Diceros bicornis minor: one gene and its partners. The protein of the gene in region 4 interacts with the protein of the main gene of each other region in a biochemical or structural test. Links are inferred from orthologs where the notes say so. Each region holds a gene or a part of one and is shown on either strand. Other genes may lie near its edges.

The links.
Region 1: the proteins of WDR5 (region 4) and SETD1B interact in a test that uses a peptide from one of them, tested with the Homo sapiens proteins (3 studies listed by BioGRID, with this or other methods). The link is inferred for Diceros bicornis minor from reciprocal best matches to the Homo sapiens genes WDR5 and SETD1B.
Region 2: the proteins of WDR5 (region 4) and KMT2C form a complex in vitro, tested with the Homo sapiens proteins (4 studies listed by BioGRID, with this or other methods). The link is inferred for Diceros bicornis minor from reciprocal best matches to the Homo sapiens genes WDR5 and KMT2C.
Region 3: the proteins of WDR5 (region 4) and SETD1A form a complex in vitro, tested with the Homo sapiens proteins (4 studies listed by BioGRID, with this or other methods). The link is inferred for Diceros bicornis minor from reciprocal best matches to the Homo sapiens genes WDR5 and SETD1A.

The regions. Positions count from the first base shown.
Region 1 is NC_080774.1:8,199,638-8,206,462, forward strand, and holds the start of SETD1B (histone-lysine N-methyltransferase SETD1B), read right to left. Parts: upstream 3,015-6,825; 5' UTR 2,806-3,014; intron 2,574-2,805; exon of another isoform or gene 2,425-2,573; intron 2,321-2,424; 5' UTR 2,307-2,320; coding exon 2,133-2,306; intron 1,930-2,132; coding exon 1,831-1,929; intron 1,211-1,830; coding exon 940-1,210; intron 1-939. UniProt on the Homo sapiens protein: Histone methyltransferase that catalyzes methyl group transfer from S-adenosyl-L-methionine to the epsilon-amino group of 'Lys-4' of histone H3 (H3K4) via a non-processive mechanism.
Region 2 is NC_080742.1:97,911,131-97,918,537, forward strand, and holds the start of KMT2C (histone-lysine N-methyltransferase 2C), read right to left. Parts: upstream 3,010-7,407; 5' UTR 2,771-3,009; coding exon 2,610-2,770; intron 1-2,609. UniProt on the Homo sapiens protein: Histone methyltransferase that catalyzes methyl group transfer from S-adenosyl-L-methionine to the epsilon-amino group of 'Lys-4' of histone H3 (H3K4).
Region 3 is NC_080765.1:21,051,469-21,058,919, forward strand, and holds the start of SETD1A (histone-lysine N-methyltransferase SETD1A), read right to left. Parts: upstream 3,006-7,451; 5' UTR 869-3,005; exon of another isoform or gene 830-868; intron 681-829; exon of another isoform or gene 657-680; intron 564-656; exon of another isoform or gene 403-563; intron 75-402; 5' UTR 60-74; coding exon 1-59. Other genes in the region: ORAI3 (protein orai-3), read right to left, coding at 3,836-4,495, 7,414-7,451. UniProt on the Homo sapiens protein: Histone methyltransferase that catalyzes methyl group transfer from S-adenosyl-L-methionine to the epsilon-amino group of 'Lys-4' of histone H3 (H3K4) via a non-processive mechanism.
Region 4 is NC_080767.1:41,021,247-41,029,174, reverse strand, and holds the start of WDR5 (WD repeat-containing protein 5), read right to left. Parts: upstream 3,003-7,928; 5' UTR 2,942-3,002; intron 2,324-2,941; 5' UTR 2,246-2,323; intron 941-2,245; 5' UTR 885-940; intron 1-884.

The DNA of each region.
Region 1 (6,825 bases), on a different chromosome or scaffold from region 4:
TGCTCACAAAACCCCTGGAAGCCACCCACCTAAGCCCTCCCAGGGGACCCCCAGGAGCTTTGGACCCAACAGTGTCTGCCCAGTCACAGGGCTGGCTGGTCCTCAGAGCACCTGGCACCTTCTTCTCTATCAGTGGGAACTTCCCTAGAGAAGCCACAGGCAAACTTTGGGGGATGCCCTAGAGTTCTTCAAGCCCCTCCAGCCAGCGTCCAGGAGGAGCCTCCCAGGACCCTGAGGGTGGGAGGTATGGCCTCCCCAGCCCAGCTCTCCCCGATTCTCCCGGCAGCCACTCAGAGTGAGTACAGAGTGAGATTCCGGTGCATGGGAGGTGGTGCTGTCTCTTTAAGAGAGAGGAGGGAAGACACAGTGTCAACCCTTGAGCACCCAGAGCAGCCCTCCCCACTCTATGGAACATGATCAATGAAACCACACTCTGGGCCCAGATTGGTTCCCACTTCCAAGGGGAAAGGGACCCTGGATCCTTAGAGGACTCTCTTTTTAGTCCAGGGACCTACTCTTTATGTATTTAACGGCATCCTGGTGGCTCTCCCTCAGCCCCCCACAAATAAACAAACACTGCCTCCTCCCCTAACACAGTTAGCAACACTGGGGACTGTCTCAACCCAGGCCACCAGGGCTGGGAGAGGGGCCCACGGGGGTGTCAGCAGTGGGGAAGCCTCCGGGTGGTCCCTGGGGGTGCAGTGGCCAAGGACTGGCACATTTGGTAAATTATAGCTTGTCTCCTAGCAACAGACAACACATTTAGCTCCACGTGACTCTACCCTCAGGAGGGGGAAAAATACAATTGGTAGGGGGCCCCCAAGGAAGAGTCAGGGGGTCCCCAACACTGCAGGAGGGGCTTTGGGAGGGAAAAGGGTCACATGGACAGGTCCCGGGGCTCCTCGGCAGTGGGCAGTCCGCAGCCGGCCTCCAACTCACCTTTGGTGTCCAGCTCCACGTGGATGATATTGCCCATGACGGAAGTGCTGTGCAGGTGCTGAACCGCCTCCTTGGCTCCCCTGACCGTGGCAAAGACCACCTTGGCAATGCCCAAGTGCTTCTTGGTCTTGGGGTTGTACAAAATCTCCACCTCCTCCACCTCCCCATACTTCTTGCACATGTCCCTCAGGAAGTTTTCGCGGATGTTATCATTCAGCTTGGCAAATGTCACCTGCTTCGGAGGCACCGGGCCCACATAGAACTCATCGATCTGGCAGGGGACGAGGGGGAAGGGAGTTTGCAGAACATTGAAACCGAAGGGAAAACACGACATTCCCCACTCGCCTGCCCGTTGAAAACAATGAAGGGGAAAAAATAAAAAAATTTTTGGGGGAAAAAAAAAATGCAGGCGGGCGGGCCCGGGAAGCGGAGGATTAAATCGTTTGGAACGTGGAAGTCCTCTGGGTTCGAAAGGAAAGGGGAAAAAGAAACAGTTTCTCTTTCCCCACCCCCCATTCTGGCCTCCTCTCCCTGCTGCCGGGTCAGGGGCGATCCCTGGGGCTAGGAAGCTGTCCCCCTAAAGCCACAAGGCTGGGAAGGGGGGCGGGTCCCGGGGCTGAGTCCCCGGGCTGGCAGGAGGCAGGTGGGGACCCGGAGCCCCCAGCTGGGCGGACAGCACACTGTATCAGCGCCCTGCTTAGTTTCACCGAGTGTTTACAGCAGCCCAGAGGGGACACCCTCTCGCAGCCGTCCCCCCCGGCCCCGCCAAAACTTCCCGGCCCGGACGGCGGGAACTCAGAATCCGGCTGGGCTCGGCCAGGACTGGCGTTATTTTCGAACTCGCGGCGCGGGGAGGGGGGGGCGAGCGCGGGTCAGGGGGAGGGGTCCTGCCTTGAATTTGGGCACCGACAGCTCCAGCTCCTTGTTTTTGGTCCAGATCCCGACGACCCGGGGATCTTCGACGATGTCCACCGGGCGGTTGCTGGACATCTGCGGGGAGGAACGGGGGGCGGAATGGGAGGGCTGGTCCCGCTCCCGGGGCCGGGGCAGACCCCCCTTCTCCAGGCACTTGTCAAACTCCGGCTGACAGTTGGCCCGGCGGTCGGGAGGGGGCCCCGGGCTGCTCGGACCCCGCTCCCGGGCCGGGCCGGGTGGGTGGGTGGGGGCGGCGGGGCGGCGCGCCGGCTACTCACCGCCAGGCTGAAATGCTGCCCATCGTAGCGGTACAGTTTATGATGCCCCTTCTTCAGAGCCGGGTCAATCATCAACTTGTAACTTCTCCAATGGTGGTTCCTCCTCTCGCCCGAAGGGCCGGGCTGCGGCGGGGGCTGCTGGTGGTGGTGGTGGGGGGGGTGACTGTTCTCCATGCCGTTAACCCAACCTGAAATCGAGCAAGTTGTTGTCGTCTCCGCCGCGGCGGCGGCGGCCGCTCTACACACACGCGAGAGAATCAAATCGTCCAGCCCCCACCCCCTCCCACCTTACCAGCGCGCCCCAAAAGGAGCTGTCTCGCTGGCTCCCCCCAAAATAAGAATGGAGCGAGAGAATAACCCTTCCGGGAGAATTAGGCGCCCGCCCGCTCGGCCACCGTCTCGGGGCGGCAGCGAGGGGCTCCCGGGGGCCCCCGGTGCGGGCTGGCGGCGCCCGGGGCGCCCGGAGGACGCGGGCTCCGGCCCATGGTGCCCGCCCGGCCGCCCGGCCGCCCGGCGTGGCGCTCGCTCGCTCGCTCGGCCCGGCTCGGGCGCGGGGCTCGCGGCAGGCCTGGCGCCGCCCGCCCGCCCGCCCGCGCGCTCGGCCGGGGCCGGGGCTGGGGGCTCGGGCTGCCCGGCTGCCGGCCGCGGCCTCTCCCCCCTGGGCCGCGCTTACATCCCCGCCGGGCGCCGGCCTCCCTGCGCCGCCAGCCAGTACATGGTGTCCCCCGCGGGAGCCGAGGCCGGGGCGGCCGGACGGGGGGCCGGGACGGGGGGGCGCCGCCGCCGCGGCTGCCGGGCCCGGAGCTGCTGCCGCCGCCGCTGCTGCTGCTGCTGCTGCTGCCCGGGAGGCGGCTGGCGGCGGAGGCTCGGCTCCCAGTAGCCGCACATCCCACAATACACCGCTAAGGAGCCCGACCCGAGCGCTCACCCTCCTCCTCTTCCTCCTCCTCCTCCTCCTCTTCCTCCTCCCCTCTCCTTCCTCGCCGCTTCCCCAGGCACTCTCCCGGCGGCGGCAGCTGCGCCGCCAAAGCCCCGGGCCCCAGCGGCCCCCCACCCCTCACTCGCGCGCTCCCACACTGCCTCCCCCCTCCCCGGGGGAAGGCCTTTTAATTTATTTATTCTGCTGGGACTTAGGTGGGGGGCTTGGCTGGCGGGGGAGGGGGTCTCCCCAGGCTCTACCTCCCGCGGCTGGGGCTACCCTCCGAGCCGCGGCCGCCGCGGCGTGCACCTCGGGCCTCCAAAACTGTTTCCAAACTGCCGAGACCGGAGGTGGGCGCGCGGGGGCTCCGGGGGAAGGGCCGGGTTTTGGGGTGTGTATATGTGTGGGATTGTGTCTTTGGACGCTGGGAGCCGTGGGGAGAGGCAAGACGACTCAAGACGAGTTGCAATCGAGGTATCTCAGCGCCGGCTTCCTCTTCTGCCCCGCGACCCCCTCCCCCCTGGAGCTGAGCTGGGGAGGGGAAACCAGGATTTTAACCAAATTAGCATTCACATTCCTGGGAGGATGCAGCCCTCGCCTGGACCTGGGTGATAGAAGCTTCTTTCTGTTTTTATTTTTGGAGAGGAGCGCCCTGTAATTGTCTTGAACACATGCTTCTGTCTCCCCCCCCTCCTTCTTCCTCCAGCCACCAGCGGAGGAGAGAGTCCCCCTTTTTTGCATTTATCTTTTCCTTCCCCTTTCTTTATTAAAGGTCCGGGAGTGGCGGCGGCCAATCAGCGCGCGGCTTCCATTTTGTGAGTTCAACTCCGAGGCTCCCGGGCTTCGCGAGGACGCATTTGCAGCCCCCTCTGCCTCTCCTCTCGGGCGGCCGAGGCGAAGGAGCCGCCTCGCCGGGGCTTCGTGGTGGTGTATTTCATATTGGGGCTCTTTTCGGGGTTTGTAATTTGGCCGTGGGTAGGTAATTGGCTGGAGCAGGGCGGCAGGGCGCGGCAGCCAATCAGCGCGCGGCTTCTATAGGGCTTGAGTTATTAGACGCTGGTCTCAAAACATCCTTCATCAGACACCAAGGAGAGGCCAACAGATGAGGGGAGCCATTTTTCTGCAATGGAATTAAATGGCCAAGTGGGTTTTTCCTTTGTTGCAAATGGGGAATGTTTTTCCTTTGACTCCACCATCCAGTTCAGGACGCCTCAGTGTTCTGTTTAACATTTGTCAACAGGCTAAAGGACTCACAATTGGAAGAATGAAGAAGACTTTTTAAAAAGATCTGGATTTTTCCTTATGACTTGGAATCCATCTTTGTCTTGTATAACTAGGTCATAGCACACCATTAATGTCAGCAGTTAACAATTTTGAATTCCAAAAAACCTAAGTAAATGACATATTTAATTTTTTTTCCTCTTTTTTTCTTGGGTGGGTGGGGGGAGCTTGGAGCTGTCTTAATCTGTATTCTCTTGACTGAACAATAAATTTTTAAATATATATAGTTTCCTCTATTAAACACTTAAACCTGGCCATCTTATTAACTCCTTCTGCTCTCTTTTTAACAAGGTAATGTTTTAAATGTATAGTTTTAGGACTAGCGAAATGGCAGCAACAAAAAAATTGTAAGCAATTGTTACTTTTAAGTTTCTAAAAACCTTTTACATTGTAAGTACCCAATCCATTCTGTCCTTACGCAGTGCAGTTTTCATGTTAATGTTGCTGAGATGTCCTTAATTTTCTGAACCTTCATCTGCATGTATGTCTTTGTCGCTCTTGTCTAATATAAGCCAGTTAAAATGCTTTTAGACGATTTTGCTTTTATAAAGCTAAGGTTTTTTAGCTTTAAGCTTTTGAAAATGTTTACAGCCATAAATGCTAGTCAGCTTTCTTCCCAGTAACATGTACACTTTCTTTGAAAATCGATCTATTTGAAGAAAAACAGCTCTGTTTTTGTCGTCTTGGTAGGGGAGTGGGTGAGGGAAAGGAAGACCTTCTCTTTGTGTAAAGAGACTAAAGCCGTCACAGGAAACTAGATTAAAACTGGAAAACAAGTCCTAGCTGGTTCGAGCCAAACACCAACGTTAACGCGGGTATTTTCTATGGTGGTTGGGATGGCCGGTGCGTCTTATGCCTTTTGTTTGATTTGACTGTGTATTTTCGCCTTTTGTCTCTTAATGACGGTCACACCATTGCTATATCCAGAGCAGTAAACAGTCCTGCGAAGCCGCCTTTTGCCAACCCAACCCTGGAAAGTTTGCAGAAGTGGAAGGAGCAGAAAATGCCATGAGAGTGTAACTTACAAAAAGGTAACAGCAACAAAAAAAGACACCACCATTCCCTCAAATATTCCCAACTAAACAATCCCCCCAAAAGATATTCAAAACCTCCGCCCCGCTTGATCTTCCAGACTCCATGGCACCGGGCTGAGCGGGTGAGTAAAAAAAAAAAAATGCCTTTTGCCCCTTCGAGGAAATCTTTTTTCGAGCAGGCCAAGGGCTGCAAATGTTTGGGAGCTGAGGAGAGAAGGAGGTTTCTGGAGCTTTATGTTTGGCAGCCGGATCGGGGAGGGGTAGGGGGACAAGGTGGGCTCTTCAAACCCTTTTGCCCCTTCTGCCCCGGAGGCGAGAGGAGGGCCTCCCCAGCGACCTCGGGCGTCCACGGGGTCGCCTGCGCTCGTCCCCCTCGCTTTTCTAGGTCTGAGCCTTGGTGTGGAGAAGAAATTAAAGTGCTTTGCAAAGGAGGGGCTCAAAAGACAGGGAAACCCACTCCCCCCCAGCCCAGGGCCTCGTTCCCTTTTGATTGGGGGGGGTCTCGCCCTCCGAAGCCGGCTTTCCGGGGCTCCGGGGCGCGCCTGCACTTCCTAAGCAAAAAGGACAAAGGCCGGCGTCCATGTTGGCACCATGACGCAGCATCTCTCGCGCCTGCAGCCCGCGCGCTGCCTGTGCTCCCGGCCGCGCTCGCTCCTCCCTGCCCAACTCGAGTTTTATTTTCAGGTTCAGAGCGGAGCCGCGGCCGGGGCCGGGCCGGGGCTGGCGGGCGGGCCGGCCAGGCTGCGGTGGCTAATGGCGGCCGCTCTCTTCCTGCCTCCCTCTTTCCCCGGTGGGCGTTGAGAGCCCGGCGCAGGTGGCGGCCCCTCGGCCGGGCCGGGCCCCGAGAGCCCGCAGCGCATAGCGCCCCGGGCCGGGGGGTGGTCGCGGAGGCCGTGTCGGGGGCCGCGGGCCCGGGGGCGTCGCGCGCCGCAGCTCCCGCGCTCACCTCCGCCCGGCGAGGCGGCCAGACGGGCGCCATTTCGCGCGCCGCCCGCGGCTCGGGCGGTGGCGGCCGCCGCGCGCCAGGCGGGAGGAGGGAGGAGGCGGCGGGCCGGGGGGAGGGGAGGCCGCCGCCTGCGAGGACGCCCCTGGCCCCGAGGCCTCGACGGCGGGCGCGGGCTCCGCCGCTGCCTCGGACCCCGCGCCCGACTCGGGGCCCCACGCGGGCACGAGGCCTCGCGCCCAAGCCGGGCGGCGGGGGCCCTTCCTCCTCCCGCGCGCGAGCCAGTAGCAGAGGGCCACGGGGCCGGGGAGGGCCTCGAGGCCGCCCCCTGACCCCGACCCGCTCCTCCGGAGGCCGCGGAAGCCTCCCCCGCGCCCCGGCCCTGCCCCCGGGCCGTCCTCGCTGCCCACCCGGGCCTGGGCGCCCATGTCTGGCTCCCAGGCGTCCTTGGATAGCCGAGCCCGAGGGGCGGAGAGCCCCTTTGTCCCCACTTTGGGTGTGAGGCCCTCAAGGAGG
Region 2 (7,407 bases), on a different chromosome or scaffold from region 4:
GTTCAAAATTCTTGATTTTAGGTAGGAAACATAATTTTAAAATAATAATAGTTAATGTAAAACCAGTAACTACATAACCTATGCTTTTTAAATATGCTAAAATATAAAAATTATCTAAATAACACTATAAAACAAGAAAATGCTTATTTACCTAATTATTAAAAATTTAAAAATTCAAACAAAGTGTAATTAGCAGTGCATGGTTACCTTTTTTTTTAACCCAAAGACAAATATACAAATCTACTTTTAAAAAATAGTTTCATAAGGCATCTTCCCTAGGGTAAAACAACCCACTTAGTGACCATCTAAATGACAATGACAATTTAAAAACTTTTATCTCCACTGCACTTCACAAAGAATATTAATTTTCATTTCTTAGATAACTATTTGCAACTCCACATAATTTTAGCATTTACAAACCTAATTTACATTTGTTACACATCAGTTTCACTTTCAGGGTCTACACTACCCAACTAACTAAGGGGTCTTTTCTGCATGTATCCTAATATTGTGTACAGATACACAACTGAAAACCCTTCTCTTTGCTTTCCATTTGACATATTAGTTTCCATTTACATGTTTCTAAAACAATTGGAGATTCCATTCCCTTCAAAATATACACATGATTTTAAAGAATTCACTAAACAGTTTGGAACGATCAAAGTCACCACTAGACTTAATTTCCTATAAGGAATGCTGTACCAGTTTTCAAATCTAAAAGAGAAAACACTCAAGATTTAGAATTGTTCTAAACATTTTCCAAAGTGTTAATGTTTTTATACCGTTAGATTACCGTCATTCTGCAGAAACTTTTTACTTTCTGCAAGGGCTACCTTCTTCTTCACTCATAATATGATAAACATTAAAATAATAAAGTGGTATTACCCTAAATCAGCCCTTCTTCCGGTGCACCCAGGAGTTGCACTAATACAAATGAGCTCATTTCAATCTCAGGGGAAGTGGGGGGGGGGGGTGAGGGGCGTTGACAACATTGCTAGGTCTACTCTTTCTAGAGTAGGAATTTAAAACATGATAATCTCAAATCAACGTTCAGAAAAAAACAAGAAATGCTTTCCAAATAGTGAAAATGGGAAGCAACCAAGTTAAAACCCTAATGTGGCTTAATATGTGTCGCTTTAAAGAATACAAAAAAGTGGCAAAAAAGTTTAAAGTTGCCTAAAACTCCACCTTCCTTCTCCCAATTTCAGTTAATACAGAAATAATAATGGCATTTTACACCAGACGTTACACTACAACGCAAGTGGCCTAACAGACCCTAACTCTGTCTCACAAAGGAGCTAATGTAATAATGTTTACATCCTGTACTTGTTTCCCTCACTGTTTGTCACAGCTAGGTAAGAGCTGGCAATAAAACATGGAGGCAAGTTGAAGGCCTGAATCATTTTCATAGCAAAAGGACAGCAAAGAAGGAGAGACTACATGCAGCCAAGGGTTTCGCGGGGTTCCCACACCCCGCTCTCTCTGCCTCGGTTAACACTACATTTTTACTATATATCACCAAACGCAACAACATCATTACTAAATGAGCGCACCCCAACAACAACAAACACACCCGGACTGTCCATAAATTGGCTGCTTTCCTCCGCGTGCGCCGCACCGTTCCACTACCGACAGCTCAACGAGACGATCACATAATGAAATGAGTAAGCAATCCACGCCATTCTACAACTTGGCGAGACACTCACAGGTCCTCCACAGCACCCTCGGGAGCCGCAGGAGCCGGGCGACTCACTGACACCGCCGCGGGCTTCTTCATCTCCAGGCAAAGTCGCCGGATAACCATTTTGCAGGAGGACGGCTCTAGCCATCGAGCGACCTCGGCACTCCGCCCTAATGTGTGCTCGGACGCAAACGAAACCTCCTCCTGCCGCAGCCACGGCGCGGGTGGCCGCTTCCACGCCGGCTCGGGCCGCTCCCGCCTGCACTCGCCCCGGGCCAACGTGCTCTCACGGCCGGCCTGCGCCTCCCAAACTTCCCGCCCTCCCACCCCCGGCGGCGCGGTGCCCCGGAGGTGGGCTTCTGGGTGCGGGGCAGTGCGGCCCGGGGTGGGGGGAGAAGTCCAACGACTTCCTAATGTCCCCTTCAGGGATGAAGGGGAGGCCGGGCAGCAGGAAAAGTTACCGGAGCCACTCGCCGACAAAGAGGACCGGTGCTCGCTCCGCCGGGTCCCCCCGCCCCCGGCCGGAGCCCCCCCGGCCGCCGCGTTTGACAGCTCGGCGAGGGTCCCGCGCCCGGGACTCCCTGGCTGTGCTGCGGGCTGGCTTTTTAAAGACCCAGCCAGGCGCAAGGCTCGACGAGAAATCGCTCCGAACACAGAGGCCCCGGCGCCGGGGCCCAACTTAAAAGTAAAGTGTGGCGGCGGCGCGGCCGTCGAGCGGCGGGCGGAGTGCGGGCGGGCGGCGCGGGGCCGGGGCCGGGGCCGGGGCGGGCGGGCGCCGGGCCGGAGACGCGCGGCGGCGGCCCCACCCCCACCGCGGGGGCGGCCGGGGGCGCGCGGGGCCGGGGGCGGCGGCGGCGGGCGCGCCGGTGACAGCTCCGGGCCGGCGCCGCGGCTGGCTCCCGGCCTGGCTCGCTCACACTCAACTTACTTCTTTCTGGCTCTCTGGAAAGGGGAAGCGCCATCTTTGCGAGGCCGGCCCCGAGGTCTTTTGTCTGCGGCTGCGGGGCTCGGGGCCGGGGCTCCGGGCTCCTCGGGGGGTGGTGGCGGCGGCTGCGGCTGCTCCGCGCTCTTGTCCTCCTCCGACGACATCCTAGTCACCAGGAAAGACACATGGATCCCGGTCCTCCTCCGGGGGGGCTCCTCCCGCCGCCGCCGCCGCGGCCGCCGCCGCCGCTGCTGCTCGGGTTCCTCCTCCCCGGCTCAGCCTCTCGCATTTCCCGCAGCCCCGGGAGCAGCAGCAGGTACCGGGAGAGGCGGCAACATGGAGCGAGCAGGACACGCACTCACACACATAGGCGCGGGCGCGCGCACCTCGGCGCGCAGGGGCCGGGCGGGGGGCGGCGGGCGGGGCGCGCGGAGGGAGGGGCCGGCCGGCCGGGGCGGGGAGGTGCGGGCGGCGGCGGGCGGGGCGCGGGCGGGGGCCGGGCGCGGTGCGGGCCACGCCGGGCGGTGCGGGCGGGGAGGGGCGGGCCCTGAGGGGCGGCGGGTGCCGGCCCGCGTCCCCGCGCGCCCCTCCCCCGCCCGCCCGGCCGCCCGCGGCGGGGAAGGGAAAAGGGCCGCGGCGCGGGGAGCGCAGGGCCCGCGGGGCCGGCGCGGGGCGGACGGGCGGGCGGGGGTCGCGTCTCCGCCGGCTGCCCTCCCCAGCGCGGGCCGCGTCAGGCGGGGCGGCGGCGGCGGCGAAGTTTTGACAGCTGCTCCAGTTGTTGTTGTGGGTTCCGGGCTGCGCGAGCGCCGGCCCCTCCGCCCGCGCCCGCCCTCTGGGCAGGGGAGGAGGAAGTTTTGCGAGTGTGCGTGTACCACACACAGACGCGCGCACACACGACCGTGGCCAGCGCGCGGGGGCCGCGCCGGGTCTCCCCCGGGCGCCCGGCACCACAGACCTCCCAAACTGGCCGGCGTCTAGCCCACACACGGCCGCTCGACGCCCCCTCCCCCTCCCCCACCCGCGCGCCGCCGCTGCCACTCACGGGGCTCGCTCCGCGCATGCGCCGCCCGCGGACGCTCGCCGCCGCTGACCTCACCGCCCCTCCCCCGCCCCCGCCCCCGCCCCCTCCTCCTCTGACGCGGCGGCCGGGCAGCGGCGACTCCGGCTCCGGCTCCGGCTCCGGCTCAGGAGAGCGCCAAGCTGCGGAGGAGGCGTCCGGGATCGGGGTCCAGGCAGTAGGCGGAGGGCGAGGGAGGAAGAGGAGGGCCGCGTCCTCGCTCCGGACGCGCTCGGTCTCCCGGGACGCGCGGGGGGGTGAAGCGCAGGCTGCCCTCGGGCGCGCCGCCGGCGGGTGCCCCACGCCCACCCCGAGTGTGGAGCCGGCGCCCGGAGGACCTCAGCACGCCGCGTGCAGGGCTCTTTGGGTTTCGTGCGTGTCTGTGGAGAAAAAGAAATGGAGTGCAACTTCGTTGTAATCCAATTCCAGCGATAGTTTCGTTATTACAACGTCATTTAAAAAATGATCCAGAAAGGGCTTACCAAGCTGTCAGACAAAAAGAACCAAGACATTTTGAGGAATAAAACGCTGAAAGACATAATAAACCAGTAAAAACCCCAACACTTGATTTTAACGTTCAGTGTGTTGTGATGAAGAGTCAAAAATTGAAGTACTTATAAGCCACCTCTCATACTACGTAAAAATGGTAAGAGAAAAATGGGGTTAGAATAAGAAATCTGAAATATGCACTTTCTCAAGAAGAACAGTGACAGATGTGGAATTCTAGATTCCTTATTCTAATAGACAATGTGCTCTCCTTTCCATTCACTATTGATTAGTGTATGGGAATGAAAAAATTATAGATTTGAATTGGGGAAAAATATTAAGACTTCTCAACTGCTTGCAAAAGGATTAGGATAAACTATCATCTAATAAGCATACACTCTAGGCCGGACACACTAGGCACCTTCTGATTATGATTTTTTTCCATCTTCACAACACAGTTTTAGTATAAAGTGAAAAAAATATGCTGGTTATCCAGCTATGTTGTTCGCCTTCCTTTCCTTCCAATAACCAGAATACACACTTTGCATTGTGTTTCCTATTTGGGCAAAATATACACAGTTTGATTTCCAGAGCCTATTCTGACTAAAAGCATAGTTTTTTGAAATGAGGACTATAATAAGACAGTCATTTGAATTCCTTCAGGGTTTAACCCCTGCTGGATTTTTCAAATTTACTAAATTTACAGCCACGGGAATTTTCACACTGGGGAGAAACTGGCTTGGTAAATACAAACAATAAATTAAAAGTGCCTAACTATTATACACAGAAATACAATATACACATGACTAATGATAAACTTATGCAGTGGTATATTTAAAGTTTATTATTACCCTTTCTTTTTCAATTTTTTTCTGCGCATTACACTTTAAATAAAGTACACTTTCAAAAATTGCATTATTGATCCAAATGTTTATCTGTGTTCAATACTGAAATTAGATCAGTCATTTCCAACTGTGAGCTTCCCATGCACAAAATTATGTATCAGGATAATTTCCTTCAGTCTACTTCTTCAGCACTTGGGAGAATTTAAGTGTCAGTATGTGCAATTTGCAAGTCACTCCTGCTGGAGAGAGGTTTTAAAAGGAAATGACTGGGGACTGAGAACAGAAAAGTGGGTAGAATGAATGGTAGGGTAGAAATAGAGCTTTGTGGAGTGATGCTTCCGGAAAGATAAAAGATGATAAAGGTGACTACCCCCGGCCTTAAATCTCCATTTCTTTGGCTACTGAGAGCAGACAAGTAATGGGATCTGTTTTAAAAGGATCGATAGGCTCATCGGCATGAAGTTATCATAGGCAGAGCAGATCAAATATAACCCAGGATGCAGAGGAAATAGTCAAGGAATACTTATTCATCATAAATAAATGTTTTCACATCTCCGTTATCCAAATCTCACAGCTCTGAGTCCACAATGGCAAAAATCCAGGAAGCAGGTAGCTGAATTTCCTCAAAATTATAAAATCAGAAAGGCATGAGCATCTGGAAGGACCAAATGCAAAAAAAAAGGAAAAAGTTAGAATGTCTACTTTATAAGAAGTACACATGTGGGGCCTGCCCGGTGGCGTAGCCGTTAAGTGCGCTCACTCCACTATGGTGGCCCAGGGTTCTGATCTGGCGCGCACCATTGCACTGCTCATCAAGCCATGCTGTGGCAGTGTCCCATATAAAGTGGAGAAGATGGGCACAGATGTTAGCCCAGTGCCGGTCTTCCTCAGCAAAAAAAGAGGCTTGGTGACAGATGTTAGCTCAGGCTGATCTTCTTCACCAAAAAAAAATAATAAGAACACATGTTAAATAGGCATTTTTAAAATATGGTAGATGTGCACCAAAGTGATAACAGCAATCACCTCTGAAGGGCTGGAATACAAGGGACTTTCACTTTCTATATTACATTTTCCTGTAATATTTGAATCAGAGCACACGTAATATAATCAGAAATATATATTAAATATTTAAAATGTGGGTAGGAGGTGAGGGTTCTTATCTGCAACAAAGAAAAAGCAGCATCTCATGAAACTAAGCAAAGGAGAGTCTCAAAGAGTCTAGCAAACAAGTGACAGTGAATAAAAACTCAAAGTACAGTACCCATTCTTACTAATTGCAGGCCTAGAATGTCATTGATAGAGTCTTTATTTAGAAGGCCTCTCTATTGCTTTGTTTTAGTGAATGTAAAAATATTTAAAAGGCTCTCCCATAGGTTCACTACTAAATGTTGTCCCTCTCTTTTTGTTTTCCCATAAAGTCTTAAATTCCTTAGAGTTTTTTGGGAACCAAACTTCTATAGTTGCAGAAGGAACACTGAAAATGTAAATTCTAGATCTTATAATTTTTGTGTTCATATTTTTACTATTAAAGTTACACTTTAAAAAGTTGCCATCATAGGCTATCATTTTTCATCCTTTATTTTTCAGTAGAAAAAATGTTTTAAAAGAATTTCTAGGGCCGGCCCCGTGGCTTAGAGATTAGGTGCGTGCGCTCCGGTGCTGGCGGCCCGGGTTCGGATCCCAGGCGCGCACCAACGCACCGCTTCTGCGGCCATGCTGAGGCCGTGTCCCACATACAGCAACTAGAAGGATGTGCAGCTATGACATACAACTATCTACTGGGCTTTGGGGGAAAAAATAAATAAATAAAATTATTTAAAAGAATTTCTATCACTTAAAATTAGTTCATATTTAGTCCATAGTGCGTTTTTAGCTATAAAAATTCATATATTGCTTTATTTATTTCAGTAGTGTATACCATGTACCTGTGTGACAGAAAGATTAAAGGAAGAAACTAAGAAGGAAATAAACAGAACAATCACCTTCAAAAATAATTTCTGTATAAGAGCCTGAGGCATCAGTAGATGTTCTGCTGCACATTTTATGTAGATATGATCTTGCCCTGTAGGGGTCTATACTTTGAGCCTGGCACTACTTAACAAGATAAATACAAAAAGGGCAAGCAGGCAACTGAAAAATACACATGGAAAAACGTACAAATAGAAAGATTAAATATTTACATCCATTGTGTACAAGACCATAGTTTTAAAAGAAGTGCATCTGGGGGTTTAGGTGGAAGGGTAGGGGTGAGAGGAGTCCGCCAGCTATGTCTATTTAGAAGAGGCATAGAAAACATTCTGCCAGAAGTGTTATAAACTCCTAAAAATTCTCTTCCTCCCTCCCTCTATCTCTCTCTCATTCACACACACACACACTTTCTTAGGTTCCTCTCCTTTATTCACATACAAGACTA
Region 3 (7,451 bases), on a different chromosome or scaffold from region 4:
TAGTTCCGCCACTGAAAGCTCGGGGCCTTCTGCCCATCTCCCCCACCTTCCTGATCCATCTTTGCTCATTTACACTGTTAGAAAAGAGGAATACACAGGGGTGTTCAAGACTTAGGCCTGACTCCCTTGCTGCCCCTTACCGACTAGCCCAGACTCCAGATTCTCTGATCACCCCAGTTTCCACACCTCACCATGACCCGTGGCTCCCCCAGATTTTCCCCCAAGTACCCTGTTTCCCACAACACCTCATTCTCTCTCCACCTCCCAACTCTCCCCTCAGGCCCCCAAGCCCATCTCGCGCCCCCTTACCTTCCCGCTCTCCCTAGCGCGCGCCCCACTTGGCCTCCGCGCAAGACCCTTCCCCCGCCCCCTGGCAGGCCCCGCCCCCTCCCGCCTCCTCACCGGCCAGCGGCCCGGGCCAAGCCCGGGTCCCGCTCCCACACACCCGCTCTCGTCCCCGCGCCCCGATCTTCTGGCCAAGAGGTGGCACCTCTTCGGGGCGTTGGAAACACCGCGAGACCGAGCCCGAGACCCGGCTGCGGCCCCGAATCGGGGCGGGGGGGTGGTGAAGGGAACGCGCGCCGCTGCCCTCTCCTCCCGCCCCGGCGCGTTCTGCCCCCCCCATCTCCGCGCACGCGCGGCGCGGCCCCACTCACCCGCTCGTGGCGAGCGGTTCCCCCTCCCCCCACCCCGCGCGGCACCTTAGCGGCGCGAGGCGGCGGCGGCGGCGGCGGCGGCGGCAGCGCGAGACCCGGCCCCGCAGCGGTGGCGGCGGCGGCGCCCCCCCCCCCACCACCTCCCCGGCGCGCGCACCAAACACCACCGCCACCTGCGCGAGGCCCAACGGGCACAGCGTCTACATTCGCACTTTCGCCACGGGTGCCGCCGGGAGACCCACGGGGCCGAGGATAGCGGCTTCGCCTCGACCGGTGCCCTATAAGGCTTGCGAGTTGCGGCCCAGGGAGCCTGAAGATTGGCCGCATCCCCCGGAGAGTGGGCTTCACCACGACTATCCAGCTGCTCTGGACTGGGGTCCTTGACGAATCGGCGGCGACGAAAGCAGCGACTAATCCCTGAGGAAAAGGGGGCGGGGCGGAGGGGAAGAGGCCAGCCAGAGCTGGGGAGATTTGACTGGCGCGTTGAACAGGCGCAGATTCGTCAAGCGGGCGGGGCGAATCGGTGGACAGGATGCGCGCTCCTTTGCTCGTCTTTCCGGCCCCTTCCTCGGGCGGCCAAAGGTCTAAGAGGCTGCAGATTCGCCACAAGTCCTGGCCTCAGCTGTCGCCTCCCTTCACCCGCGTTGATGGAGTCAAGAAAATAACGGCTGGTTAGCCAAGCCCTGTTGGCAGAGTTGGCCAATTTCTCTGGATCTTTCTTACTAGCACAACTCAGAGGACTGCCCAATTCCGACCCGGGGGAAATGGCTACGGCCCAAAGGTCCTCTCGGAGTCCGATGAGAATTTTTCGGCGGAGTATAGAAGGCCCCGAGCAATTCTGAGGAGGAGCCGGCCTAGCGAATTTGTGAATTCTTCTGTGGGCGGGGCCAAGGCACAGCGCGCAGAGGGCGTGGTCAGCGTGCGGAGCCCGGTGTCGTGCGGGCGCTTCCTGTAGGACCCACTGAAACCGGGGCGGGCTGGGAGGGGCGCCCGGGAGGTGGAAAAATACAACCAGCAGCGGTGACTCAGGCCGTTTGCCCGGCGCTGCACATAATGCAGGGAGCGTTTTCCTCCCGTTATCCCCCTTGGGCCTCTAGCTGTCTAAGGTGCCCATTTGACAGATGGGGAGACTGAGCCTCGCAGAAGATACCGCATTTTGCACGTACTGGGCCTACTATTAGTGATTAAATCCGAGGCTATCTCAAAGCTCTGTGGTAAACTTGATGGGGCCTAAAGACCCTTGAACGGGTCCTGTAAAAAATAATAAACTAGGTCCTACAGGAACTAGGGTGGGCTGGTCGATTCTCCAGGCATCGTGGTCCCAGTGCCCGCCGTTTTCAGCCGTGTGCCCCCTATGTTTACGCGGTCCCACCGCTCGAGGGCAGCACCAGCCCAGGCTTACACCTGGGACCCTGGGGCTGAAGTCGCCCTGATGCTGGGCACCCTTTTTCTCCGTTTTGGAAGCAGGGTATCCTGGTCTCTAGGTAATGGCATTCCCAGGAGGCACCTCTGCCTGAGCTGAAGATGCCCTGGGTTCCAGACATCTCTGCGTCAGTCCCTCGCTGTGTGACCTTGGGCAAGTCATTAACCTCCCAAAGCTTCAGATTCTTTCTCTGAAAATGAATGTTAATTCCTGTCCTGCAGGTCTATTGTAGGCATCAGAACAGTGCAGGAAAGGCCCTTGAAGCCTGGTTCATGCAAATTCACCATTTTAAGTAATAGGAAAAGAAAAAAAGGAGGACTTGCCCAAGATCTCACACCATAAGAATAGAAGAGAGAGGATTGGGACCCTTTAAAATTTTGAAGAAAATGAGGCTGAAAAAATAAATTTGCATGGAAGCATGGGTGATGAGATCAGATGCCTTTCTCTTGTCCCAGCTGAAAGGTATTTGCTCCTTTTCTCAAACAGACTTCATGTGACAGTAAAGGTAGTCCAGGTTTTCATTGACTAGTTGTGTGGCTTTGGGCAGAATCCTCAGCCTTCTTGGGTCTCAGCTTCCTTATCTCTGAAATGGTAATGATAAAGACTTGTCTCTTGAGGTGGTTGTTAAATAAAATAAATTAGGTACGTTAAAAAAGATAACCTATGAAAAGCTCCTAGTAAGTAGTAGTCACTCAAGAAAGAAACTTAAACTAAAAGAAACATATTAAATCCTCAATGGAAGAGATAAAAGATCCTGGGCTCAAGGACAAGAGGCAAAAGCCTTTAGCCTTAGAGTAATGCGGTCTCCACATTCAGAAGCTACTGGTCCCTGTCAGCACCAGAAGGGAGTCATACCTGGTACCCTCTCTCTCCCACCCCCAGGTACACTTGCCTCCATCTGACTCTTAAGGAACAAGTCACCTGACCCCAAGGAGGCCTCCCGTTCACCCCATTCACAGCCACAGGGACATCTGTGAAACACAATTTATTATACAAAACAAGGTGCATCAAAAATTCAGTGTCAGAAGAGCTCTGTATTTCAAGGACTAGGGACTGGACCTTCTCCCTTAAAACCTCCTCACCCCAACCCCTGCTAGGGAGTCAGGCTGGACACGTAGACCCCCAGCCCTGGTCCAGGAGAGTGAGAACCAGATATAGAAGCGTAAGTGTGGGTCTAGGGCAGTGGGGCAGGCACTTGAACCTCCCAAAATAGGGAGGCTCTTCCTGGACCTATGCCTGGGGTAAAAACACCCAAATCTCTCTCTACAGCAACTAAAGCAAGAGTGTAAAACCCATCAAAATCTGAGGATGGGGAAAACTTCCCCAGAAATGCCAACCATAAAACAGATTCTACAAAAATAAAGCAAGAGTTGGCTGCCTTCTGGGGCAGCTGGGTGGGCGTGTAACCTTCTGACCTCCACATCCTGTATAGCGGCGAGTGGATAAGGGTCAGCACCAAAGGTCTGACCAGGGTCTCCTTGCCCTCCCCTCCGCCTACCGCAGTGGCCTCGGACTGAGGCCCTCCACCTCCTCCCAGCCCAGCTGTAGAGTAGAACTTAGAAAACCTATAGGACCGACTGATGGAGAATCCCTGGGAATGTGGGAGCTGCCCCAAGGCCCAGCCCAAAGGACCCTGAGAGCAGAAATCTGGTCTCTACCTGAGAGTGGCCACAGGAAGTGTCTCCAGGCAGGGGCAGGGATGGGGTCTGCAGACCCCTGAGGGAGGCAGTGCTTGCAGCTGGGGCTCACACCAGCGTCACACAGCCTGCAGCTCCCCCTGCAGGCGACTTAGCTCCTCTAGCTCTTGCTTGTGGCGGTCTGTCTTGTGTGCCACCAAAGAGCGGTAGAAATGCAGGGCGAAGGCCACGAACACAAGCCCTACAGGTACCATGATTGCCGTGGAGGCCATGGCTGCTTGCCAGCCTGGTCCATGGGCCCCGCCCCCACCACACACTTGCCGGGGTGGGCAGGCCTCAGATGGCTCAGCCTGTGACGGGGCTAGAGAAGCAGAGGACGGCTTGGAAGCTGGACTAAGGGAACTGGTCACTGATGGCAGAGTCCCAGGCACCTGGGAGGCAGGTACCACAGGGGCTGGCGTGCCCAAGGGGGCCCCAATGGGCACAAACTTGACCCAGCCAACCAGGACAACTTCAGCGAGGAAGAGGAAAGTGCCCAAGGCAGTGGAGAAGCCCCAGGCCAGCTCCACGTAACGGTGGAGTCGCTGGTGTGGAGACTGGTGGACAGAGTTGAGGTTGTGGATGTTGCTAACGGCTTCAATGTGGGGCAGCAGACACGTGGAGACCATGAGTGCAAAGAGGTGCACCGCTACTAGCACGGTGGTGCAGGCACTAAAGGCCACCAGCAGGCCTGGTGGGTAGTCGTGGTTGCTCTCCAGTTGCACCTCCACCATGGCCACCTGTGGGGACAAGAGGAAATAGATTGAGTGCCCATAACCTCCTCAACAGTACAGGAGTTTTTGCCTGTTGGTATACATCACTGATGTATCCCTAGGACCTAGAACACTGCCTGGCAGAAAGAAGGCACCTAGCCTTTGTTGAGCGAGTGAATGGGCAGCACTGCCAAGGCTCTGTCCTGTTCTGGGCCTTGGTTTCCACACTAGGCTATCAAGAGGGCTGGATGACATTTCTGACAATCTTACCTTGTTATAACACAGGGGTTAAAAAGCACAGATTCTGGGGCTGGGCTGCCTGGGTTCATTCTCAGCTCCACAAGCTATGTAATCCTGAGCAAGTGACTTAGTTGTCTCTGTGCCTCAATTTCCTCATCTGAAAAATGGGGACTGATAATAGCATCTACCTGCCTTATAGGGTTGTTGTGAAAATTAAATGAGATAATATACATCAAGTGATAAGAATAGCACAAGGCACATAGCAAGCACCGTTTGCTGTTATTATTTAGAGTGGACTCTGAAAGTCCAAGGCCAGAGTTTGCACACTGGCACACCGTGAACCCAAGCCAGCTTACAGACATGTTTTGCTTGGCTCATGCAGTGTGTTTTTTAAAGAATTAAGTTGCCAACTTTTAAAACTCAAGAGATTTCATATAAATATGCCTATTTCCAGATCCTCTTGAAAATTTGCAAGATCTGGTTACACCAGGCCCACATTCCTGCATGGCAACTATCAGCTAGAGTTGTCATGGCTGCTCCCTTTGAACAGGCCATGGGGTCTCTTGATAGCCACAGGCCCCACCCAGCCAACTTGCTGTCCATATTACCTGCCTGGCCTTTGCAAACATTTAAGTTGATGATCCTGTTCTAGGCTTGTATAAATTTGGACTCTAGAGCCAAGTTCAAATCCTGCCACCTCCTTGCTGTGGGACCCTGGGCAGGTGTCTTAACATCTCTGATCCTCAGTTTTCTCATCTGTAAAATGGCCATAGTAGAGGTTCCTACTTCATAAGATAATAGAAAGATGATGTACATAAAAGCCCTAAGTACAATGCCTGGTACTTAGTGACAGTTCAATACAACTTATATAGTGTTATTCTAACCTAAGCCACCTGGATCTTTCCCCACGCCTGGTTCTTGCAGGATCCATTCGATTGCTCTGGGCCTGGGAGAAGGAAGGTGCAGAGCCTGGAGGGTGGTAGTAGGAAGACAAGGCTGAGTATTTTGGGAAACTGGGCCATGGCGGGTGTCAGCAGGTGGTTTCCATAGACAGGGATCTGGGCCAGGCCTAGTCCTGGTTTCTCCCAGAGCTTGACCCAGCCTTGCACTCCCTTGGCAGGACTGGGGCCAGTCCTGCCCCCAGAACTTACTCATCTGGCCTCTTGATCCTGCAGAGAAGGTCCTGGTCCTTAAGCTGTTGCCCCAGCAACCTGCAAGTCCAGTAGCAGGCCGGATTGTGCCCTTGGGAACAGGCTGGACCATGGGGTAAATGGGGGTGGGGGACTCCCTCAGCTAGGTCCACGGGGCTGTTCCCTTCTCTCTGCAGTCTGTACAGGGGAAGGGGAGTCAACTCCCTGTCCCTCGATGACCCCACATCAGGAAGAGTGGGCTGGCCTGTGGATCCTGGGCTCCCACACAGAAAACCATAGACTTAAGATGACCCTAAGGGATAGAGACTTTCTCTCTCATCGTTCAAGTACAGAGACTGTGGCACAGAGAGGGACGAGGGACTAACCAAATCACCTAGTGCTATGATCCCTCTATCCTCATCTGGACCACCCCCAACCCCTGCAGGAGCTTGTTCCTATGAGGACCCCCCTCCAGCCCACTTTCTCCTTCTTCCTGTCATGATGGTGGGGAAACACTGGACTAACAGTCCAGTGACCCTGGGTCCTATTCCATTCTATATCCTTCATCTGCTGAGTGCTCTTGGCAGAGCCACTGCCCCATTCTGTGCCTTGGTTTCCATGCCTGTCCAATTATCAGGTAGTCTGAGCCATCTCTGATGTGTGTCTTGCTCTGACATGCTTGGATCTAGGGTTTGATGACAAGAATCACAGCTCATCCTGGGGTGGGCACTTGGCAGGCTACAGAGGGCGCACCCTCTGTGATCTCACAATTTCCCACTGGCCTGCAAGGGGGTGGAGGCCTGTCCAGAGTCACATAGCTGGCCACAAGCAGGGAGGAGCCAGGACTCGTGCCTGCTGACTACTCCTCACCCTAGGACCTCCCTCAATCCCACTTCCTAGGAGGCCTCTGCTGGGACTATTAGCTGATATCATCCGCCCACACCTGCAGTTTATCAGCTTAAGAATCATGTATCAGCTTCCTAATCAGTTTCTTTCCCTAGCCGCTTCCTTTCTTTTCAAAGCCTCCCTGGGCTATGCTAAGCCTTCTTTGTGCCTGCTGGGTACTAGCTGCCCTCCTTGAGATGGGCCCACCTTCAGTTGGGTGACCTTTCCGCCCAGCTTACCCTCTCTGACCACCCCCAGCCCTAGTCCTGTTTATACAGCCCCCACCCAGCTCTGATTTCCCTTTGAATCTCTCATGGGGACCTAGTAATCACTTCTGCCTGGGCTAAGCTCCTTTTGGACCTCTTTGTCCCATCTTTGCATATGTTATCCCCTTTGGTGATTTGTCTACCCCCATGACATGACTTGTGTCCCCCATGAAACTTCTGTGACTTGCTTATCCCTATGGCCCATTCTACTAGAGATCTGCTTACATACAAATACACACCCCCCACTCCCCAAAAAGGGACTTGTATAGTCCCTTGGACCTTGTTTGTTCTCTTCTTTTACCTTAGAACCCCATCTTTTCCTTGCCTCTGTCCTCTCTCCCTTGAGTATCCGTTCACTTCGCCAACGGCTCCGTGCCCCCCATGTGCCTCACCCCCACCCTGTGCGCCCCTTCCCTCCCCTCACCATGGCGAAGCCCGAGAGCAGGGCAGACGTGCGGCTGG
Region 4 (7,928 bases):
CAATATGCCATTTTCTTCAAAGAGCCCTTGATCCATTAAAAAAACAAACCCACCAAAGGTTTCTACTCAGGAAACTAACATGCCAAATTACAGAAGACTGAGCTTCAGAGGGCAGAAGCTTGGGAACTCATCCAAATCCTCAAATGCCTCCTCAGATGCGACAGTGCTAACAGCCACCTCTGAAAACACAAGAGCTTGCCCCAGCAGTCCACACCTTCTGGGGGCTTCACTGTCACCATGTACAGGCTGCAGGCACAAGGCTGTTTCCAGAGCCCTGCAAACAGCTCGAAGGGCTCTCTCTCTGTCCCTGGTGAGGCATTTACAAGACACAGCCGAAAAGCACAAACCAGAGCCCAAACCAGAGCCAGCCCTGCCTGCTGGAGTCCCCACAGGCTCACCTTCTGTAGAAGCAGCCTCAAGTATCCACGGATACCCTTCAAGCAAGACTCACTGCAGAGGGGACTGTGGCTCACTTGGGTTTCAGCGTGACAGTGGGAATGACCCAAAAGCTGCACAGTAAGTGACCAGTTTCCTCTGTCACAGGAACAGAGGTTGCATTCCTCGGACAGATCTCATAGAAGCACACCGGGTGATTCTGAAGCGAGGGAAAGCATTATTCAAGAGAGCCACCAAACTGTTCTTGCAAATATCACTGGCCATCCAACTCCCGAAAGCCAACACTACCATCAATCTACCAAGTTTACACACTGTGAATCCTCGCTCAGAGCTTAACACTGAAAGCTTGCACAGGCTCCTCGTCACACCAAGGCGAAACGGGAGCCATCCAAAAAGAGCATGTCTCAAAGCCTTCATCCAAGCGGAAGGAAGAGACATCACAATGCAACACGGCTGTGCAGAGCACACGTGCGGCCACGGCTGGTTACCTGCAGCAAGGATTCCAGGCCCAGGGACGGATCACGCTGCACCCAGAGCCCGAGTCCTGAAGTGGGGGAGCGGAGGGGCAGGTCAGGGAAACCTGCCAGGGACGAAGTGTCGGCACAAAGCTGGGGCTCAGTAACCACCAGCTACTGGTGATTATCTTTAATGCAACTGGGCTGTGCCAGTTAACCCAAGGGCTGCCTTCCCCTTCGTAGGCTGCACAAGCGGAGGGAGAGAGGAGCTAAGGCAGAAAGCTGGAAAGTCTGTTTCACAGAACCTACAGTGTGAAGAAGCCCGGCCACAGCAAGGAGGGTGGAGAAGAGTGGACCACAGGCGCCAAGCAAAACACCAGTGGGAACAGAAGAGGCTTCCTCTGGGGTGAAAAGGGTAGCTCAGGGGACCCAGTGCAGCTCCTTTTAGCATAAAAATTGAGACCCACCAGGAGGTGGAGTGTGACTCCCGCAAACAACTGGCTGCCCCAAGGTGAGGACCAGAGGCTACAGCCGTGGTCCTACAGGAAAGGTGCCCAGCCCTCCCAGCTCAAGCCCAATCCCAGGCTAGCAAACATTAACTTGCAAAAAATCAGCCAGACTTTTAAGAATACAATCAATTAACTCAATGCTCCAAGTTTCTACTTAAGAAGGGGGGAGCTTGGCATTTTTCATAAACACTCATGATTCCGTAGAACAATCTTTTTTGTTAATACTTTTTTTCTTGCTTTTTCTTTGAGGAAGATTGGCCCGGTGCTAACATCTGTTGCCAATCTTCCTCTTTTTTTCTTTTTACTCCCCAAAGCTCCACTACATAGTTGTGTATCATAGTTGGAGAGTTGTAGCTCTTCTACATGGGACACCACCTCAGCATGGCTTGATGAGCAGTGAGGAGGACCGGGCCCAGGATCCAAGCCGGCAAACCCTGGGCCCCCAAAGCGGAACCCACCAACTTAACCGCTACGCCACCAGGCGGGCCCCAGAACAATCGTTTTGAGACAACTGGGAAGCTGGTTAGGGACCAGCTCCTTAGGAAAGAGAACTGGAGATGATGAACGCAATCAGGCTGCAGGAAAGGCCATAGGGAGTCGGCCCCCAGAGCACGTGCTACCTGCCACCTCTTTGCACCCACAGCTTTTTCCCAGGTGAGCCTGACCACCTAAGGCCGAGCCTCCCAAACCTTGGAGAGCTCTCCTAGACTGCTTGTAAAATGCAGATTCCTGGGCTCCCCCAGAGACTGGGCCCACAGGTGTGGGAAGACAGGACGTAACTGGTGCCTCAAAGGCGGCAGCCCCTTAGACCCACAGAGAGTGGGGGAACCTGGCTCTCCCTGCCTCGGTTCTGGGACACGCAGACACGCTTCCGTTCCAGCTTACCTATCTGCCTTGTGCGGGGCGGGCCAACCTCAGAGGCAGTGTCGACCACAGCACCTGCCAGGGCTTCGGTGAACGGACCTGGGGGGCAGAAACCGGGTGAGAAGGCTAGGAGGGAGGGAGAGAGGGAGTCTTTCACCTCCCTCAAAATGGCTCTAGCAGACCAGACAGGAGATGGTCTCTCCCTTCGTGACAGCGGACCGGCACGCGGGGACCCCGTCCTGGGACCTCAGGAGCGAGGGGGCCTGGCTGCCTCGGGCAGAGGGTGGGCAGCAGGTCGGGTGGCGGCGTCTCTGCAGAGGAGGGGCAGTCAGGGCTGCAGGCACGGGGGGCCGGGGCCTGGGGTCCTTCCCCGGAGGAGCGGCGGAGGCACAGCGGAGAGGCACGCCGGCTGCAGGGCAGAGCCGCCGTGCCGGCCTCGCGCTTGTCACCGACCGCGGGGAGAGGCAGCCGGGGGGCGGCCGCGCGTGCGGGCGGGCTCCGCAGGGGCGGGGCCGGGGCCGACGGGAGGAGGGGGCGCGGCGCCCGAGGCGAGGCGGCGGCGGGGCGGCCGTCCGCCCGCACGGGGCCCGGGGCTGGGCCGGCCCGCGGCCGAGGCCGGGCCCGCCAACACGTGCGGCGGCGGGGCGGCGTGGGGTGCGGCGGCGCCGGCCCGCCCCGCGCCCCCGAGTGTGCCCACCGGGCGGGCGGCCCCCTTACCTCCGGGCGCGCCGGGCGGGGCGGGCGCTCGGGCGTTGCGTCGGCCGCCGCCTGGGCGGGAGCCGGGCTTAGCTCGACGAGGCGGCGCGGGGCCGGCAGTGCGCGTGCGCGTGCGCCAGGGGCGGGGCGGCGTCGGGGCGGGCAGTGCGCGTGCGCGTGCGCCAGGGGCGGGGCGGCGCGGGGCCAGCAGTGCGCGTGCGCCGGGGGGGGCGGCGTCGGGGCGGGGCGAGCGCACAAAGCCAGCCTCTCGAAGGGGCGCTACGGGGAGCGGCGAAGGGCAGAATGCCTCGGGCAGGCCCAACGCCTTAAAGGGACCGCGTGCTGCGCGCGCTTCCTGCTTAAAAGCGTGAACGCCAAAGGTGGCCGGTGCGTCCCCTTCTTGTCCTGCACTTTCTAAAAACGGAAGTAGGATGATACCTACAGGAAAGGCTAGCGTGCCCCTCGCATGTTCACGTCCCGAGCTCGCCCCGCGAGGCGCCTCCGGGGAGGAGCACCGCTCCTATGCGGGATTGGAGGGGCAGCGGGGCCCTAACCTTTCTTCTGGGATGGGCATGTCCTGGATCGCGTCCCTCCTTCCTTGTGGCGCTCGCTGATGGGCGGCAGCTAACGCGTGCAGAGCGTCTAGCCGGCCCTGGCCGTGCTCGGCGCCTAGTATCTCAATTAATGCTCGGACACCTCTGCACAGGGGTCCTTACCTTCTACTTTGAAGCCAGGAACCTGAGCTCCGAAAGGTTCAGAATCCCTGCACTGCGCCCACGAGCTCTCCCGCAGGGCCGGCTGCCTGGTTGGTGCTCTTCCCGCCTCCACGCAGAGAGCCCGCGGGGCGCACCTGCTTCTCTCCTGCGCCCCCCAAGAAGGAGAGTCAATACTAACAGTCACTGCATGCAGGCTGCTCTGCTGTCTGCAAGGTGATGTCACAGACAGGTAGGCTCACCTCCAGTTACAAATGTGGAAGGGGACGCCAGAGAGGAGGGCTCAGGGCCATGAGGAGAACCTGGAGCCACCGTTCTGGCCCTAAGTCCCGCGCATTCTCACCCTGCTGCCCCACTTCTGCTGCCCACTTGGGGAAGTGGTGATGGTCTCGGCAGCTCCATGGCCTCAACCCAGGCCTGTGGGTAGAATTACGTGCAACCTATTTCCCAATTAAAAATGGGAACACCAAATACGACACAGGAACCTGTGCAAACAGAAGGACAGAGCATTTGAAATGGAAATGCCCAGAGAATGTGCATGAGGTGTGTGGTTGTCAGATGCAGGAGCCAAAGACTGGTGGCTTATCTGGAGCCCCCCACGGAGGAAGCAGGGGCAGCAAAGTCCCCATCTGGCCCTGGCATGGCTCCGTGTGGATCTCTGTACCCAGGAGGCCTAGTCACCTTGGGCCAGGTGCCCTGGAGCATGAGGCGGTGATTATCGAAGGTAGTCGCAAAGGCAGCTCAGGATGAAGAAGGGCATCTCCATCCGCCTGGGTGCCTGGGCCGGAAACAGAGCCCATCATGGATACCCCTCATCACCTCTCAGATGGCTCTCATAGCCATCCACTTCTCTCCATCCCCACCCTGGTCCACACTCTGCTGACGGAGTTTACCAGACCAGCCTCCCCCTCTAGCCTAGCGCCACCCCCAAACTGTGCACCCGGGTCACAGCCCCAAATCGAAAGTACTTCCAGTCCTCCAACCCTCCAGGTGGAGCAGGATAAGGGTCCTGAGCCCAGAACGCAGAACTCAAACCAGGTGCCCAGGTAAATTGGTTTTGCCTCCATCTTCACAGGAGACAGAGCCTTCCAGTGAAAATGAGAAGATCCCCTAACTTGAGTGTTTTTGCAACCCACCCTTGCAGTCACAGCTAAAATCCTGAAACTGAATAACACAGCAGGTAAAGCAACTTAACAAAAGCAGGTGATTTGCTTTATTGTCTAGGTTTTAAATCCTTTTATATGCCTCCCAAAGTGTAGTCAGGCTCAGAAAAATCACAAGTGGAAATGGAAGAGAAAATAAAATCTACAAATAAGAGGAAAACATTTTGGAGATTTGTTTTTTCAGAACGTTAACTGTGCTTTGGCCAGTGGGAGCTAATTGGTAGAGGAATGTGTTTCCGTGAACCATTTTTATAAATACAACATTTCTCAAGTCTGCCCCATCAACCAGACAATACGAGCTGGTCTGGGCCCCCTCCGCACAGCCCAGGTCCCTCCACCAGGATCTCCTTCCCCTCAGGGCACCCCTCCTCCTCCTCCCCTGCCAACGTCCACTTGAGCTTCCTCCCCTCATTCCCAACCGGCTGAGTCTTCTCGACTACTGCCCCCTGCTCCTCCCCAGTGGAAACACATCTTTTGTTGTAACTCCTGGTTCAGCGTCTCCTGGCTGAGCTGTGTTGGGCTCCTTGTCACAGCACTCTTCGCAGGTGGCACGGGATGAAGAAGAGAAAGAGAGGCACTTGTGTGCTCTATTCTCTAGTAAGTTTGTTACATATGTTATCTCCCTGCACCTTCACAACAAGCCTGTGAAGTGGGTGCCTTTATTCCTTTTCACAATGAGAAAACTGAGGCTCAGAGAGATTGAGAAGCCGCCTAAGGACCCACAGGCAGTAGGCACAACCATGGAAGTCAGGACTGGCTCAAGGCAGAGCCTACACTCCAAACCACCAGACTATACAATACAGGCTCAGTGGTATTATTGGATGGATGGAGAATGGATGAATGGGTGGACGGTGGGAGGATGGATGCATGGATGGATGAGGGATGGATGGATGGGTGGTGGAGAATAGATGGATGGATGAAGGGTGTATGGATGGATGGTTAGATGATGGCTGGTAAGTGGATAGATGGATGGTAGGAGGATGGGTGAATGGTGGATGGATGGATGCATGGTGGGTGGATGGATGCATGGTAGATGATGGGTGAGTGAATGAGTGAAAAGCAAGTGCTGAGGGTCTTGACAGGAGAGAGCAGCCTGTGTCAACGGGAACAGTCAGTGAGAGTCTATGGCAGTGACAGAGCTGAAATTAAGAACATCACCGTCTTATAGGACTTGAAGCTCTTGCAAAACCGTATTTTGTCACCTAATGAGAAATATTTCATCAGGAACAGTGGACTACCAGACTCGAGAGGGCTTGTTGGGCTGTGGCAGAGAAACAGACTGCATGGCAGGAAGGCGGAGATGCTCCCCGCAGCAGGCGGGAGCTGGGTAGGGAGCACTGGCCCTTTAATGGCCAAGCCCAGAGCTTTGGGTTCCAACGGCAGTTGATGAGGGCACGTCATGGGAGACGAGGGACACGGGGGTGCCCAGGATCCAGGGCTTCCAGGTGCTGCTCACCAGATCTCCAGACTGGACAGCCCACCTCTGCTGGACCACCATTCCAAGGAGTTGCTGACTCTGCCCGGCGACCCCAAGTCTCTTGCCCAGGTCAGTGGGGTTTTGTGGTAAATTCCTTTTCCCCTGGTAACTGTGCCAGGGCAGCTGTTGGAGAGATTTATGTCTCCATTTCCCCCTCCTTGGGCTCTGCTCTCCCTTCCCCGGCCCCTCGCTGTGGTCCATCAGGACAGGCGTTTGGCCCACCTAGGTCCCAGTGGGTCTTCACCTAACCTGAGTCAGGTGGGCCACTCTCAACCCTGGTATCCAGAAGGGCTTTCTAGTCCTGACTGCGCCAGCATCTTCCTTTTCCTCTCCCGGCCTCAGTTTCCCAGGTACAGAAAGAGCAGGTAGGGCAGGAAGGCCTCAGCTCTTGATGTGGGCTGTGGGGTTTCTCTGAGGTGGGTGGGGTTCTCTCTTTCCATCCACACCTTTGCCCCTCCCACGTGCGCCCTCCCTTTGCTCCCCTCTCCCTCCCACCAGCTAGTAAGCTTCCCTGCACCACCTCCCCTCCTGTGCCACCCCCCCTAAGGTGACCCCGCTGGCTGCTCCACCCTCCCCAGGGTGACCGACCGTCCAGTTTGCCTGGCACTGTCCCATTTTAGAACTGAAAGCCCCCGTCCCCAGCAGCCCCTCAGCCCCAGAGAAGCTGACCAGTCACCTGAACTGTCCTTTCCTCAAGGACCCCAGGCTCAGGCCTAGGCCACCCCCGTGCCTCTCTCCCTTCCCGTCCCTGCCGGCACCCTGGCCCTCACCGGGGTCCATTCGCTTGTCCACCTCCCTCCCTCCTGTGGGCCCACGGGAGTCGGGACAGCCCACCAGGGACATGGTGCCTGCGGGGAGGGGCGCGCGCTGGGTGCTGAGTCAAGACGTCTGAATGAATGGATCCTGGAATGTTGCTTCTCTTCCTCTTGGATGTAAACCTGCCCTAACTTGCTTCCAAGTCCCCACCACTAAATCCGTCTGCCCTCAGCCTCCACCAGCTGCAGGCCTGGGCGTCTGCTGGGACGGCCCCCCCAGGTGGGGCTGGGTGCTCCAGGCACCAGGCCCACGGAGGGGGAGGGGGGCCCGGCTGGGCGGGTCGCCTAGCAGGAATCCCTGGAACGCGGCTCCCACTTCCAAAGCCAGGCCCCACCTGTTCCGGTCTGCAGATCTCCTCCCCACCTCTGCCTGGGCGGAGCGCCCCTGGTGAGAGAGGGGTCCCAACAAGTGAGAAAGAAACAGCTCCTGGGACAGGCCAGATGGAAATCAGAGGTCCAAGAAGCCAGAGGATTTCTTCAAAGGCTTTAGGGTTTCTGGTGAGGGGGGCAGTGCAACAGTGGTTCACGGGGTCTCTTTTTTTTTTTTTTTTTTGCGAGGAAGATCAGCCCTGTGCTAACATCTGCCAATCCTCCTCTTTTTTTGCTGAGGAAGACTGGCCCTGGGCTAACATCCGTGCCCATCTTCCTCCACTTTATATGGGACGCCGCCACAGCATGGTTTGCCAATCGGCACGTTGGTGCGCGCCCGGGATCCGAACCGGCGAACCCCGGGCCGCCGCAGCGGAGCGCGTGCACTTAACTGCTTGTGCCACTGGGCCGGCCCCACGGGGTCATTTTTAAGGAATATAAATTTGGTTGCTAATATTCCACCTGTGTCTC